Linked DNA regions of Arabidopsis thaliana. The protein of the gene in region 1 interacts with the protein of each later gene in a pairwise test. Each region holds a gene or a part of one and is shown on either strand. Other genes may lie near its edges.

Region 1 (8,258 bases):
ACACACTAATGTTGATCATAGCTTGTGTACAGACAATTATTCTGATGTAACTACAACTACCAGTGGGGGTACAAGCTCCGGTTCAATAACGGACGTTGGAGAAAGTTGTTACCAAAATGGAAGTGAAGAAATCATAGAGGAAGCAATGCTTTTCGCAGCTTCAAGAGAAGTTGAAGAAGAAGAAGACACAGAGAGCTTAGTGACATTAAGCTCACTAATGGGAGAAAGTCCAAAGAGAAGTGAGAAGAAGGTACTGATGAGTGTCCGTAATGGTTCCACTAGAGAGGTAGCGATAGAGAGGGACGTTAACAACGCACATTGCCTTTCGTTTTTAAATGTGTTTAGATTTTGGCGGGATTGACAAGAGAAAAGGAGAGATCAAATCATGAAACAAGCACTTGCATATGTACAGAAAGCAAGAGAGAGAGGACTGTACCGGAATTGCTTCCCGGTTAATGTCCGATCGAAATTCAATTCAACGGCAAGCATTGTTGGTGTATCATCCACGGATCCGTCAAATCATAGTTTTGGGGATAATTTTGATTGGGTCTCCTGCACACAACTATCTTATTCCTTACGTCATTATCTTTTAAGTTGGCAAATATTTTTCTTAAGTTAATTAGTTAATGTTTTACGACCTTTTCAACCTAAAAAATGAAACACGAACTACGAACTGACTAGCCCTAATTCTCCCAATTTGATTGAAAGACTCTCCCTGAAACAGAGCACTTTAGGCTAGGTTTCCTACTTTGTTTCTAGCAATCGATTGCTTCGTGGGTAGGTTTTCAAAATCAAAACCTAATATTCACTTTCTTTGGGAATCTCGCGAGTTAATTTACAAGATCACATGTCTCAATGTATCGTAGGGTTTCTGTGTTTTTTTTTTTTTTTTTTCTTTTTCCTGTTGGGAAGGGTTTCTTGTTTTTTTTGCTAAGCTTATTATTTTTCTTTCTAATTTAATTTAGGATCCTTTAATTTATAAAGATAAAAAAAAATTAAATTGTTTGTTATGGAGTGTTTATCTAAATTAGTTTATAATGGTATAGATAAATATGAAAAAATAAAGATACTTATAAATTTAAAGAAGAAAAAAAAGAAAAACTTTAATATAATATTAGATATCCACATATTATTCAGATTTTACTAGGTTTTTTCGAGTTTACCCACTAAACCCGAAACCTATCGGATTTTTTGTGGGCATATTAAATTCGGGTTCGAGTCGGATTAGTTATATTTTGTCAAAAATGTATAATTGTTTGCAAAATGTAACCAAATTTAATTAATTGAAACCATTTTTATTAAAATTGAACAACTTGTAGGTTTTTTCCGACCATTCCAAATCTTACACCTACCCGAACCGAATAATCATAAAACCCCAATGGATAATAGTCTCTTCTTCTACCAGAAATATCCAAATCCAAAAAAAATCAAATCTGATCAAAGTTTCTAAAGCATAAGCCTAGACACAACTTCAATGAATTTCATAAATTTTAAGAAATTATATTTACATTGATATAATCTAATTCTTTTTTTTAAAGCATAAGCCTAGACACAACTTCAATGAATTTCATAAATTTTAAGAAATTATATTTACATTGATATAATCTAATTCTTTTTTTTAAACTACTAAAATATACATATTTATTAGTTTGAAAAATGAAAAATTGAAAAATGAGTGTGGGGCACGTGCCTCACCTCTCCTCTACCTACATCTGCCCCATGTTATAACTCTAATCTCAATATTCTCTCTAAATATTTTTAAATAACGTAATTTTTTTTGTTGTTTACTAAATAACTACTACAGTATACTATGTGATTTAAACTATAAATATTGCTAACTTGTCATAAATGTTTTACACAAACATATATATACTTAATTCTCATTCATCTTCGATACTATTGAATATTTTATTATAATCTTTATCTATACATCTCACCATTTTATATGTTTAGTTGACATCCAAATTTTGGAGTTATTTTAACAAAACAAAAGAAAAAAACAAAACTTTTGACAAAATACACAAAAAAAACATATTTGAAGAAATTTTTATATTTTTTCAAAAGCTTTAGTAGATAATTAAAATTTAATTTGTGATATATGTATATATTGTGATTTACGTATATCGCGGTCATTTTGAGTTAACAACTTTAAAAAATTTACTTTAAATAATAAAAATTATAAAGTCGCATTTTTATAACCTAGGCCTATATAAAATATAATAAGCTTTTAATATTTATTTTATCTCTTGATTTCTAATTCCTAATAACTGTTTCCTATTTTCTTTTTCTTTTTCTTTTTTTTTCCGTCGATTTTCTTTTTGTTCTTATCACATTTCAAAAAACAAATGTTAAAGATATCAATAAAGACGATTAGTGATTAGCTTATGAATTTATTTATATTCTTTTAATGTGAAAAAAGGGAAAGAAGTGAATCTGGTCTCAGCTTTTAATATCACAACTCTTTAGAATACTTCCTATCCCCTTTTTCTTCTTCTTCCCTCTTTCGTTTTCTCGCGACTCTCTAGGGTTAGGGTTTGTTGATTTTCACGCGTTATTCTTCATCTTCTTCTGCAATTCGCAACTAGAGAAGCTAATTCCATTGAAGTTAAGGTAAAGTATCCATCTTTTTGTTTCCCTCCCTCGTTCAATTACTGTCTTAAATTCTCGTTGATTTCCTTTATCCTCTCGATTTGGGTATTCTTTTTTGTCCACCGTCAAGTGAATCTCTCAACGAATTTTTCCATCTTCCGGTTAATTTCTATAGAAACCCTTTGGATCTGTTTTTTTCCTGCTCAATTACTAATTTTCTAGGTATCGTTTCGTGTTTTGAGAAAATTTTGGGATTTTGATCGAATGTATCTAATTGGTGATGAATTTTTAGCCTAATCAAGTTGTTACCACAAGTTCGATTCCATGATTTGCAATTCGTAAAGGTTCATCCTTTGCATGATTCATGTTCATAGCTTGTAGAAGATTTATCCCCTTTGACTCTCGTTTTAGACTATGTGGTTATGTTTCCTTGAAGCCATGTCACTAGTCTCTTCCCCGTTGTGCCCTTCCGTGTAGCTAATTTCTTATTCAAAGCCAAAGTTCGAATGCGGGTATAAAAAACATAGCTATCTACTTTTTCTGATGATCTCTTATCCTATCTAGTGTCGAGTATCAGACTTATTACCATTGTAAAGAGATGCCCCATTTTGGTCCGCTGCTTTTGCTAGGTTGCACAGATTGTTATAAAGTGAAGCAAATTTTGGTTCTTTGCTGTCATTTTGCTACTCTGCTTTACGACACTAATCATGAATCAGTATCTCCCCCTTTGTGCCCTTCTGTGTACTGTTAGAAACCTCAGTTGATTCCTGTTCTTAGAGTTTTCTAAATGCTTATAAGATTATCTGTTATTCAAAGATACGGTTTTAATGCAATTACAAAGATCATAGCTTCGTTTGTTGGGGAATCGATCTGGTTTTTCTTATGTTCTCTTTAATTGTCCTTTCTAGTGTTGAGTTTCAGGCTTATTATTATTTGTAAAGTGATGCACATTTTGGTTCTCTGCTTTTGTTAGGTGGGGATAATTTTTGGTTTTAGAAGATACTAATGGCTGGAGTACTAGCTGGGGAATGTTCTTACAGTGAGAGTGGAGTTTCATCACACTCAAGGAATTCCCATGAAAAGCAAGAAGAGGTTTCCCGCTGGTATTTTGGAAGAAAAGAAATAGAAGAGAATTCACCGTCAAGGTTGGATGGTATTGACTTAAAGAAGGAAACATACCTCCGCAAATCCTACTGTACATTTTTGCAGGACTTGGGCATGAGATTGAAAGTGTAAGTTCTCTATCACCTCATCTTAGATTTCTTTCTGTGCATTGTTCCTTTAACTGCTTCAAGTTGGCTTGGTTTCTTGACATTATAGTTCGTCCAATCCGTCCCATCATCATTGTGGACAGATAATAGTTACCCCTTTACATATAGGTTTCGTTTAATTGGAATTTGATGTGCTGCTGATGGTTTTAGGCATACGTTTGTACTGATGTTAGTTCTAGCACCTTTAAACGGAAAGTTGTAGAAGTTGTGTTTATTTTATCTCAATTTTTCTTTCTTTGGCATGAATACAAGGAAGAGACAGTTATTAGTGGTGAAGACATAACTGCCACACTGTCTTAATTTTGCTTTTGTAGTCATGGTTTCTGCATTGTTCAGAGATTTCAATTTTTGGCTCTCTTGGAAAGTCGCTGATATAGTTTTCCAATCAGTCCCCAGGTTACAATAGCTACAGCGATAATCTTCTGTCATCGATTCTTCTTTCGCCAATCACATGCAAAGAATGACAGAAGGGTGAGTTTATTGTTTTGCACCTGAACAAGTTGAATGCTTAAAAAAAAATGACTCTATTCTGTGTTGTTTGAACCACTATGCTGTAGTCTGGCTAGTATTTAAGGTATTGAAATGTATTGGTTTTATATATAGTGGATCCATCTCCTTGCCATTTTTCATGGTATTTATAGAGAGCTCATTATTGTAGTTTCATTTATAGTTTCGCTACCACTTTGATTTAGATTTTTCTTTTTTACTTATTCTATGCAGAATTAGTGAATTGTGATTGTTGTTATTTCTTCTAGAGCGGAAAAAAATACTCGGATCTTTACTGAGCTCTCTCTTCATGTTGTTTCTGCAGACCATTGCAACTGTATGCATGTTCCTTGCTGGAAAGGTTGAGGAAACTCCACGGCCCTTGAAAGATGTTATTTTTGTCTCCTATGAGATTATAAACAAGAAGGATCCTGGTGCTTCCCAGAAAATCAAGCAAAAGGTATTCCATCTTACTACTGAATCTTCCTAATTTCTCACCTCTGTTTTACTAGTTATAGATGAACGTATCATTTTTTCCCCATATCTTTTGTTTTATTTGACATTGAGGTTTTAGTATTAGCTACAGACTTTGCTTCGTTGTTTTGTAGAACCATGGTCCTTTGGTCCTGATTTATTGTCTGTTGGTCAGCATATCAAAATGTATTTGACCTATATCACTTTTTCAGGAAGTATATGAGCAACAAAAAGAGCTTATATTAAACGGAGAAAAAATTGTTCTTTCCACTCTAGGCTTTGACCTCAATGTTTATCATCCTTATAAACCCCTGGTAGAAGCAATAAAGAAATTTAAGGTTGCACAGAATGCACTTGCCCAAGTTGCATGGAATTTTGTTAATGATGGGTACGTTCAAGAACTATTTCCTTCTAAAGCTTCCAATAATTCTATGTGCCTTGTATTTTCGTCTTCATACAATGAAAAGTGGCTTGCAGTCTACGGACATCTCTCTGCCTGCAATTTAAGCCTCATCATATTGCGGCTGGTGCAATATTTCTTGCGGCCAAGTTCCTTAAAGTGAAGTTACCATCAGATGGAGAGAAGGTTTGGTGGCAAGAATTTGATGTCACACCCAGACAACTGGAGGGTATGTACAATATGAATTGACTTGACAATTCTTGTTTCCTTGTTTGACTTCCATTCCCTTTTTCTTTATGATTTCAAGAGTAATCGTCTTTTGTATATCTCAGATGTTAGCAACCAAATGCTTGAGCTTTATGAGCAAAATCGTGTCCCTGCATCTCAAGGAAGTGAAGTCGAGAGTAGTGTAGGTGGAGGGTCAGCTCAGCGACCAGGCTCCAGAAATGCGGTTTCAACCGATGAGCATGTTGGTTCTAGGCAAACGTCATCAGTACGTTCAACCCATGAACAATCAAATTCTGATAATCATGGGGGTTCATCCAAAGGAGTATTGAATCAGAACAATGAGAATGGGGGTGGTGAGGCAGCTAATGTCAGTGTCGATAACAAAGAGGAGATAGAGAGAGAAACAAAAGAAAGCAGCCTACATCTTGAAAGCCATCCAGCCCATAAGGACAATGTGAGAGAAGCCCCCCATAACTCTAGACCTTTAGTTGAGGGACCTGGGAAAGACAACTCAGAAAGAGAGGGTGGAGAGCTACAAGATGATGGTGCTGTTCATAAATCTCGAAATGTTGATGTGGGTGATGCCCTAATCAGCCAATCGCCAAAAGATTTGAAATTGCTTCGAGATAAGGTGAAGGCTAAACGAGAGAAAGCTAAGAAGTTGCTAGGTGAAAGAACGAGGAAAAAGGATTTGATGGATGAGGATGATTTGATTGAAAGAGAACTGGAAGATGTGCAACTAGCTGTTGAGGATGAAAAGACGAAGGAAAGGAAAGTACAGAGCAGGCCAAAGGCGGAGAACTCTGATCTCATGGGTACAGAACATGGTGAGATTTTAGATGTTAAAGGAGAAGTCAAAAATACAGAGGAAGGTGAAATGGTAAACAACAATGTGTCCCCGATGATGCATAGCAGAAAGAGAAAAATGGGAAGCCCTCCTGAAAAGCAGTCAGAAGGAAAGAGACGCCACAATAGTGAGAATGGGGAAGAAAGCCATAAGACGAGCAGAGGTAGTAGCCATCATGGTGATAGAGAGCACAGAAGACACTCACAAGAGAATAACCATTCATAAGAGAGGTAATGATTATTAAAACTGCTACTCTTTGTATTCCATCTAAATGGTCTTTTTAAAAGACCTTTGGCACTTCGATGCCCAACCATGTGAACTTGACTTCTACATGGGTCGGTTCAGTCGTTGGAACCATGCTCTCTGTATTTTATGTTGATTATATATCTATTCGTGGCATTTTTGCACAATCCAACGACTTGAACTAGGACTCATCATCCTAAAAGGATGTTGAGAAGCTAATTAGGTGTTTCTTCCTGTAACCACTCCATGCTAGGGTTCTTTAATTATGCATAATTACCTGCTTTTTTCCATCTAATCTAAACCGGGCTAAGGTTTGATTCTGCTTGGCAACTTCATAGTCACATTTACTTCGTTTCCTTATATTGATGCGCATTGTGAAAAAGTTTCCTCTAGTACGGTAAAATTAGTGTCAGGTCATAGGAAGTAATGTATAGGTTGTGGTTAAGTCCACTTGATAACTTCTTTGTTACTGTACATTGTTGAATTGAGTTTACTTTTGATGCCAAAATATTGTTACGACCAATGTTTTCTTAAGTTATATATGATGTAAAAGAGAGAAACCTTTGTATTGTACGGTATCAAAATGAACTATATGTACTTTTAAGTCTGTCAGATTTTGTTTTCTTCGAAAAGTGATATTTTGTATGACCTATCGGAGAAGTGCCATCTGATTCGGAAGCATAAATACAAAGAAAGCATGTAGAAAGAAAGAACGAAAATAACTAAATATGTAACTCTTCTGTTATCTAGAAAAGAAAGGAAGAGATCTATAGAGTAGAACATTCTGTTCCTAGACTAAATATAAAATATAAAAAAATCAACTTCCACCAACCTAGAGTTTGGCAAAAGAAGCCTGAACCTACGTAAAGAAATTATTTAGTTTTGTTTTGTTAATAGCGTGTCGCACATATCCAAACTTTAGCTTTTAAAAGGGACAAGCTATCTCGTTTCACTTAGATAACTGACGCCATTTGTAAACGTCAGAATCATGACGTCACTTTTCTTAATCTTAGCATTGGTTTTAATTGACATTAAAACTCTTATACTTTCAACTTACATGCTCCCAAATAGCTATATCCGATCCGACTAGACAAGATCCGACCCAATAGCACCTTATAAAGATGTTCTATGCAAATCAACAAATCTCAAAATATTTTCCACATAAAAAGTTTTATAATATCTCTCTATTTCATAATCTTTTTCATGGCTTACAACTACAATATGCATACTTCATCAAGAGTAGCTATCATAGGTGCGGGTGTTAGCGGTTTAGCTGCCGCTAAGCACTTAGCACGTCACCATCCACAAGTCTTTGAAGCCTCTGATTCGATTGGAGGTGTTTGGAGAAAATGTACGTATGAAACAACTAAGCTCCAGTCGGTTCGAGTAAGCTATGAGCTCTCCGATTTCCTTTGGCCGAACAGAGGCGAAAGCAGCTTCCCAACTTATGTCGATGTATTGGATTATTTGGAGGCTTATGCAAAGCATTTTAACCTTGTAAAGTTTATAAAATTCAACTCCAAAGTCGTTGAACTTAGGTTCATCGGTGATGGTAAGACTTTGCAGATGGGAGACCTCGGTGCTTACGGCAACTTGTTGCCTGGAAAACCTGTCTGGGAAGTTGCCGTTAATACCGGGGATGGAGACATCCAGGTTTGTTACATTTGATATCATCTAATCACTTATTGTATTTTTGTTTGCAAATCCATATTGTTGGGAT
Region 2 (6,946 bases), 7.7 Mb from region 1:
AGCTGAAGCAATCAGATCAGAGTCATTAGATCACAATGGTCAAATCATCTGCGGTGGGTTGTTTCTCGAAGAATCTCTTCCTTCCTCGTCTGTCTCTTTTCTTTCGTCGAAGGATTGTTCCGTCAATTCGTGTCGCTTCAGTCAAAAGTCGAGTTTTTTGAAGTTTAGGAGACGAAACGGGACCAGGGAACCTCTGTTTCTGTCTGTTAGTTTATCGATTAACGAGAGTAATGGTGAGGAAGAAGAAGGTGAAGGGTATAATGGTCAAAACGGCTTTAAATCGGAGAAAGGTTCGGTGTTGATCGGTGGTGGTCAAGAATCTAAGGAGAAGCGTAGGGTTAAGGAAAATGGAGCAGGAGCTCTCAACACAACCAAGCATTTATGGGCTGGAGCTTTTGCAGCCATGGTTTCAAGGTCTCTCCTTCTTCTTTACTTATTCTACGAAACTCTTGAGGTCAAATGAGATTGAGTGTCAGTATAAAGTTGTAGACTTTAAGTGTTGGGGTTACTTACTGATATGCTTATTTGAGATTTTGTATTGATTTGGTTTGTTGTAGTTTGGTGGCTCATTGGGTTTTGGTTTGAGCAGAACTTGCATTGCACCTCTTGAACGGATGAAGCTAGAATACATTGTTCGCGGAGAGCAAGGGAATCTTCTTGAACTCATTCAGAGGATTGCAACAAATGAAGGGATTAGAGGATTTTGGAAAGGGAATTTGGTTAATATTCTCAGAACTGCTCCCTTTAAGTCCATCAACTTCTATGCATATGATACATATAGAGGTCAGCTTCTGAAATTGTCCGGGAATGAAGAAACGACAAATTTCGAGAGGTTTGTTGCTGGTGCAGCTGCCGGAGTAACAGCTAGTTTGCTTTGTCTACCACTTGATACTGTAAGTGGAATCACAACAAAAACTTCATTGAGCTTCTTTTACCATTCTCTGGAGGTTCTTTAGCATTACTTTGGTTTTGAATTGCAGATAAGAACGGTTATGGTGGCACCCGGTGGAGAAGCATTAGGTGGTGTAGTTGGTGCATTCCGTCACATGATTCAAACTGAAGGTTTCTTTTCCCTATACAAAGGTCTTGTACCTTCACTTGTTAGTATGGCTCCATCGGGAGCTGTGTTCTACGGTGTCTATGATATTTTAAAATCAGCTTACCTTCATACACCGGAAGGTAAGAAACGGCTTGAACACATGAAGCAAGAAGGTGAAGAACTTAATGCTTTCGATCAACTCGAGCTTGGTCCCATGAGAACTTTGTTATATGGAGCAATCGCAGGGGCTTGCTCAGAAGCAGCAACATATCCGTTTGAAGTTGTGAGAAGGCGTTTACAAATGCAGTCACATGCTAAAAGGTTAAGCGCAGTGGCTACTTGTGTGAAGATCATTGAACAAGGAGGTGTTCCTGCTCTATATGCTGGCTTGATTCCCAGCTTATTGCAGGTTTGATTCCTTAATACTAGTCATAAATTAATCTCTTGAACCAGCTTATTGCAGGTTTTACAGCTTTGTGAATTATCTCACTATTGCAGGTTTTGCCTTCCGCGGCAATCAGTTACTTTGTTTACGAGTTCATGAAAGTTGTTCTGAAAGTAGAATCATCCGCATAAGACAATAAGCAATGAGAAATGACACAATTACTGCTGGAGCTGCTTCAGAGGAGAGTTTTTTCGTTTTCTTTTTGGGGTTTACACTGATTCGTGTAGTTTTTCCACACTTCATCGAAAACAGATAAGAGGTTGTGAAACGTTTTTTTGCAAGAAATAATAAGATTTGGGTAAAAATCCAATTTGGTTTCCTGTGTTCTGATATATAAACCTTGATTTAAACATACAACAATCACAGAATGTTTGGAAGAATGCCATTAAGACAAGAAATCAAATGAAAATAGATTCTCTTTCGCGAAGATAAGTCTTCATATCTAAAATCACAACTGCCTTAAAGACATCAAGCCAAGACCACACCATACGAGTCTCTTTGAGTTCTCTTTACGGTTGCCATCCATATTGTTGGTTTCTAGCACCACCCATAGGGTTCTGACCTCTTCCAGAGCCACCAGATCCACCATACTGACCACCACCTTGTGAGTAGTTGGGTGGTCCAACACCATAGCCACCGCTAGGTCCTCTAGGACCGGCGCCATATGGTGCACCACGACCTTGTGGAGGATATGCTCCGCTGCTGTAACCTCCACGGCTCTGATTATTATAACCACCAGTCTGGTTTCCGCTAGGAGGGTACCGGTTTGGAACAGGTGCACCACCACGGGGCTTTCCTCCATAGTAATGGCCACCAGCAGGTATTTGGGGTGGTGGTGCGTTGTTGTTCATAGGGTGGTTTGGTCCAGCAGGCCAAAGTGGAGCGGCATGAGACTGGCCAACACCGTGTTGCTGTGGAGGTAAACGAGAATGTTGCTGCTGTGGATGCTGCAGTTTCTGTTTTTTGGCTGCTTCCTCATTATGACGCATCTGTTGCCGTTTTTTCTTTGTCTGGAACTCATGTGATGATTCATATGTCGGTAGACTGTTGACATAACACAGTTTCAGTACAAGCTGAATCACTCACTAATTGTTCTTGATCGTCATTTGTGATGTATGATGAACCAAATGGGTTTTCATAACAAGAAAGTTAAGAGAATTTGATTACCTCTTTGGATCACATGGCAGCGGATCAGTCCAAAAGTACTCAGCATCAAGAGCATCCTTTGCGCATATTCTCTGTACCAACAGACAGGAAAATGAAAGGACTTAAATGTCTAGACCAAGGCTCTTAATTCTCTGTATTAAAAATTCTTTGGTACCTGAGATGGGTCAAGTACCAACATTTTCTCAAGTAGTTCAAGGGCATGGCGATCAAAGCTATAGCAGAAGAGAAAAGGACCAAATGAGATCTCCTGGATCAAAGTAACTGTTGCATAAAAGAGTCGCAACTACATAATGGTTTATACTTACTGTCTGTAGATCTCCCTTACGCGTCTCTTTAAGGGCCGAGATGATTTCATTTGGTTATACCAAGGCATCTTGGAAACTCCAGGCCAGTTGCTTTCATCAGGTGATCCACAAAGCTCATAAATCTTATTCAATTGTTCATTCTGGAAAGAAAAAAATATGACTAAAACGCTAAGTGGAAACATCATCAAAGAACACTGTAATAACACACACCACGATAATCATAAGATGAAATCCTGACCTCAGTTTTCCCAGGCAAGATTGGTTTTCCATTCAAAAGTTCAGCAAATATGCATCCAACTGACCACATGTCAATCGCTGGTCCATATTTAGTTGCACCAAGTAACAATTCAGGGGGCCTACAGCAATAAACAATGCATAAGTAGAGAAAAAGCTGCACGTATAAGCAATACTTATTCTTTGTCACTTTTTTGTATATAACTTCAAAGTTTGTAGGCATACATACCTATACCACAAAGTGATGACACGATTTGTGAGGTTTCCAGTATGATCATGAGAATATGACCGAGCAAGCCCAAAATCCGCTAGCTTTAAATTTCCCTCATTGTCAATAAGTAGATTCGAACCTGCACCAATATATTATAGGTTAACTAGCAAATAAAGACAAGAGAACAAAATGGTCAACAATGTATTTTGGGATATATTCACCTTTTATATCACGGTGAAGCACTTGATTCACATGACAATAGTGAAGCCCAGTCAGCAGTTGCTTCATGTAACACTTTTTTACATATGTTCAAATGTCAGACAAAGTCGGAACAATAAGGGTTTTTGCAAAGGCTACTACAACAAGGTGTCTAGCCATGCAATACCTTTATCTGAGGAACCGTAAATCTCAGTCCAGGACGATCAGCAAGTCCAGTCAAGTCATGATCCATGTACTCAAAGACCATGTAGATTCCACCCTTGTATTTGTTATTATCTAAAATTGAAGAAAAGCAACAAGCTTTAGGCCGTAAGCAGTTTAAATAGATCTCTCATAGTCGCATCTAAGTTGTACAGAAAATATTTCGATCTTGAATAAGTTTCACTAACCTGGCTTTCCTTGATCATCCCTATCTCGACCTTTTAAAGACAAAAACAGTCACAAAACTCTACATATCAAACTTAACACCCCTTTTGACAAAATTTCTAAAGCAATTACAAGCTAAGATAAGAGTTCCTTATTACCTGGAGAAGTAACAATCTCTTTCAAATGGATGACATTTTCATGATGCAGCTTCTTCAGAATTTTGATCTCCCGGATAGCGGTTATCGGAAACTCCATGCAAACAATGAAAACGGAAATATAAGTCATACGAAACTCACAAAAATTTGCAACTTGTCAAAGCTAGTACTGGTAGTTCAAATGTAGCTTACCCCTTCTCTTTCATTGTCCATACGGATCTTTTTCAGAGCCACGATTTCACCAGTTTTAATTTCTTTAGCCATGTACACTTGGCTGCAAAACCAAATTTTAATATATGAATCTAAACACCATCAAAAGAGACAGCTTCAGAAGTTTATTGCAACATATATATATATATATATATATATATATATATATATATATCTACCATACCAAGAATCTGAGAATTCCCAAATTCAATCAACAAAATCGAATTTATTGAGATAAGAGGCAAAGTTAAAATTCCTCAAATCAACAATATATGGATCAATAACTATATATAAACGTTTCACAATCAAAATTGTTTCAAAAAAACTTATATATCAAGTGGCCCTAGCGAAATCGTTCAAATTTGAGAAATTTCAGTCTTGAGCACGAGTACTCTGACAAAACCAAATAAATTGGAATCAAGGAACAAAACCCAGAAAAAAAAAGAATGGAGAAGAATACCCGTAAGTTCCTTCACCAATCTGTTCAAGCTTCTCGAAGCAATCGACACTACGAGATCCCCAAATCGGTGGAGGCTCCTCTAGATTTAACTGCCCAAAAGCCGCAGCCGCCATTATTCAACCGAATCTGAAAATTACCGAAGAATTCTGCAGCTTCGCCCTTGTCGCTCCTCTTCTCGCCTTCTTCTCTCCGGCTATTCTAAGGTTTTAGCCCTACCTTACAGTGTCGGCTTCGCGGAAAAACCTAAGCTTTTTTATCCGGAATCAATCTCTGGTTTAAACCGGTTATTACAACGAACCAAAATCAAACCGGTTAAATTCATGAGTCAAATTTTTAAGACGCTTTGACAATCTTGAGTTTTTGCTCAAGTGCTGAAATAGAAAAAGAATCGCTTCATATGAATCCCATTATTATATGAGAAGCTTCAAGCTCGTAATAAAGGGTGATTTAAGAGTTACTTCCAAATTATAATGTTCAACACAGTTACGGATGAGCGAAGTTTGGATACAATGACAAAATTTCAAGTTTGGACTTGTGAAATCTACAATTAGATCTTGATACGATCAAGTAGCGTTTCATCGACTAAACACACGCACTTGTAAGCAACCAGCAGTTCCTCAGCAATCTCATCTCCAAATCTCACAACATATTTCTCTAGAAAAGCTTCCTCAGTCATCTCAACAATGCCAACCATGTTCTTCTTCTTCTTCTCCTCTTTTAACAACAACCCTTTTTCCCTCAAGATCTGCAAAACTTTAAGCCTAGGAATCACCCTCTTCTCAAGATTATACGACAACACACAAGGACGTTTCGCCAAAGCTTCCCTCTCTAACCCCATTCTCTTCAAGTAAAACTCAAACCCCAGTGTAAGCTTATCTTCTGAGCACCGGATCAAACCTGGAGATCTTCGTATAATATCTGTTATCTCATCTTCAGAGAATCCATTAGCCATAAACAACTTAACCTTTCGATCAAACGTTTTCTCGCTCAAAGAACTTAACGAGATAACAGCGTGCACAAGCATCCTCGAGTTCAAAGTAAAACCAAGATCCAAAGCACGAGAGACATATCCTCTGAGTTTTTCCTCAGAGAGATTGAAGATTCTTGGCTGTCTTCTAAGTAAAGAAGCAAGCTGAGACCCAACAATTCCACAGGTTTCAAGGTATGAGATGTTTGGTAAGAGAAACAAGTTAGGGTCTCTACTGAGAAGAAGCCAACCACATCTACTAAGAATGACAGGAAGGTCTTCATGTTTTGGGGCAACAATCGATTTCAGAATCTCAACGGTAGGAATCAATTTCTTCACTAGACTTACACCAACGACTGATGAGTTTTGAGAGACGAACTTACCAAGACCAGAGCCAGTAAATCCAATATCTTTAAAGAATCGAAGTTTGGGTTCTAGAATTTTCTCCACGTTGTAGAACATCATTCGAGGATGGACCCGGATCGATTTCTGGATCTGGGTATCGGAAAAACTGTAACTTTTAAGCATTTGAATCACTGACCGAGGTTGTTCTAGGGATTTGAGGTTAGGGTAACGCATTGCGATGGCAATTGCTAGAGGTTTCTGGAACCCATTGTCCCTGAGAAACTCGACGAACGCTGGATTTGATATCGAAGCTGGTGTCGCATTCGAAGAGAAATGATGCAACGAGAGAGCTCGATCCCATCTCCGACCAAACTTTCTGGAATTGGAAACGAGAGAAGCTAGAAATTGCATCTTGGAAACGAAAGTTTAGGGTTTTACCAAAGCTTATTATTTTGTACAGTTAAGAATCATTCATGACTTTTCAACTATGGTTTCTATTTGATAAGATTAATTTATTTGAGATACAGTATTCAAAATATTACTAAAACAGAGATGAGTCTAGTGAGTAGCTGAGTACAATGAGTATATTTATACGAAAAAGTTCCTAATTTCTAAATCTCTCTATACACAAGCAATACATGTGGCTCATGACCACTCTGTTGATGAACAACCAGAGTCTCCTCTCCAAAAATTATTATCGAACTTTAAGAAGACAGAGATGAGAGAGTGGTGGTGGTTTGACTAGTTGACCATCTCTTGCCTCTCAAGCTTCCATAAGATAATTTTATTTGCAGACCAGTGAAATTGTTAACACTCCTGTGAA

The links. The genes of interacting proteins can lie anywhere in the genome.
Region 2: the proteins of AT5G45190 (region 1) and CDKC2 interact in a protein complementation assay, tested with the Arabidopsis thaliana proteins (one study listed by BioGRID).

What each region holds. Positions count from the first base shown.
Region 1 is NC_003076.8:18,276,070-18,284,327, reverse strand, and holds AT5G45190 (Cyclin family protein), read left to right. Parts: upstream 1-2,453; 5' UTR 2,454-2,610; intron 2,611-3,562; 5' UTR 3,563-3,594; coding exon 3,595-3,819; coding exon of another isoform or gene 3,820-3,821; intron 3,822-3,884; coding exon 3,885-3,908; intron 3,909-4,010; coding exon 4,011-4,028; intron 4,029-4,249; coding exon of another isoform or gene 4,250-4,256; coding exon 4,257-4,331; intron 4,332-4,671; coding exon 4,672-4,806; intron 4,807-5,032; coding exon 5,033-5,208; intron 5,209-5,297; coding exon 5,298-5,449; intron 5,450-5,552; coding exon 5,553-6,520; 3' UTR 6,521-6,708; downstream 6,709-8,258. Other genes in the region: AT5G45200 (Disease resistance protein (TIR-NBS-LRR class) family), read left to right, coding at 1-361; AT5G45180 (Flavin-binding monooxygenase family protein), read left to right, coding at 7,742-8,191.
Region 2 is NC_003076.8:25,953,475-25,960,420, reverse strand, and holds CDKC2 (cyclin dependent kinase group C2), read right to left. Parts: upstream 5,048-6,946; 5' UTR 4,925-5,047; coding exon 4,812-4,924; intron 4,416-4,811; coding exon 4,334-4,415; exon of another isoform or gene 4,272-4,333; coding exon of another isoform or gene 4,236-4,271; coding exon 4,145-4,235; intron 4,040-4,144; coding exon 4,010-4,039; intron 3,897-4,009; coding exon 3,787-3,896; intron 3,696-3,786; coding exon 3,623-3,695; intron 3,541-3,622; coding exon 3,420-3,540; intron 3,313-3,419; coding exon 3,195-3,312; intron 3,097-3,194; coding exon 2,957-3,096; intron 2,864-2,956; coding exon 2,806-2,863; intron 2,723-2,805; coding exon 2,652-2,722; intron 2,529-2,651; coding exon 1,994-2,528; 3' UTR 1,616-1,993; coding exon of another isoform or gene 1,538-1,615; 3' UTR 1,530-1,537; intron 1,455-1,529; downstream 1-1,454. Other genes in the region: AT5G64970 (Mitochondrial substrate carrier family protein), read left to right, coding at 1-414, 590-893, 981-1,448, 1,538-1,615; AT5G64950 (Mitochondrial transcription termination factor family protein), read right to left, coding at 5,359-6,534.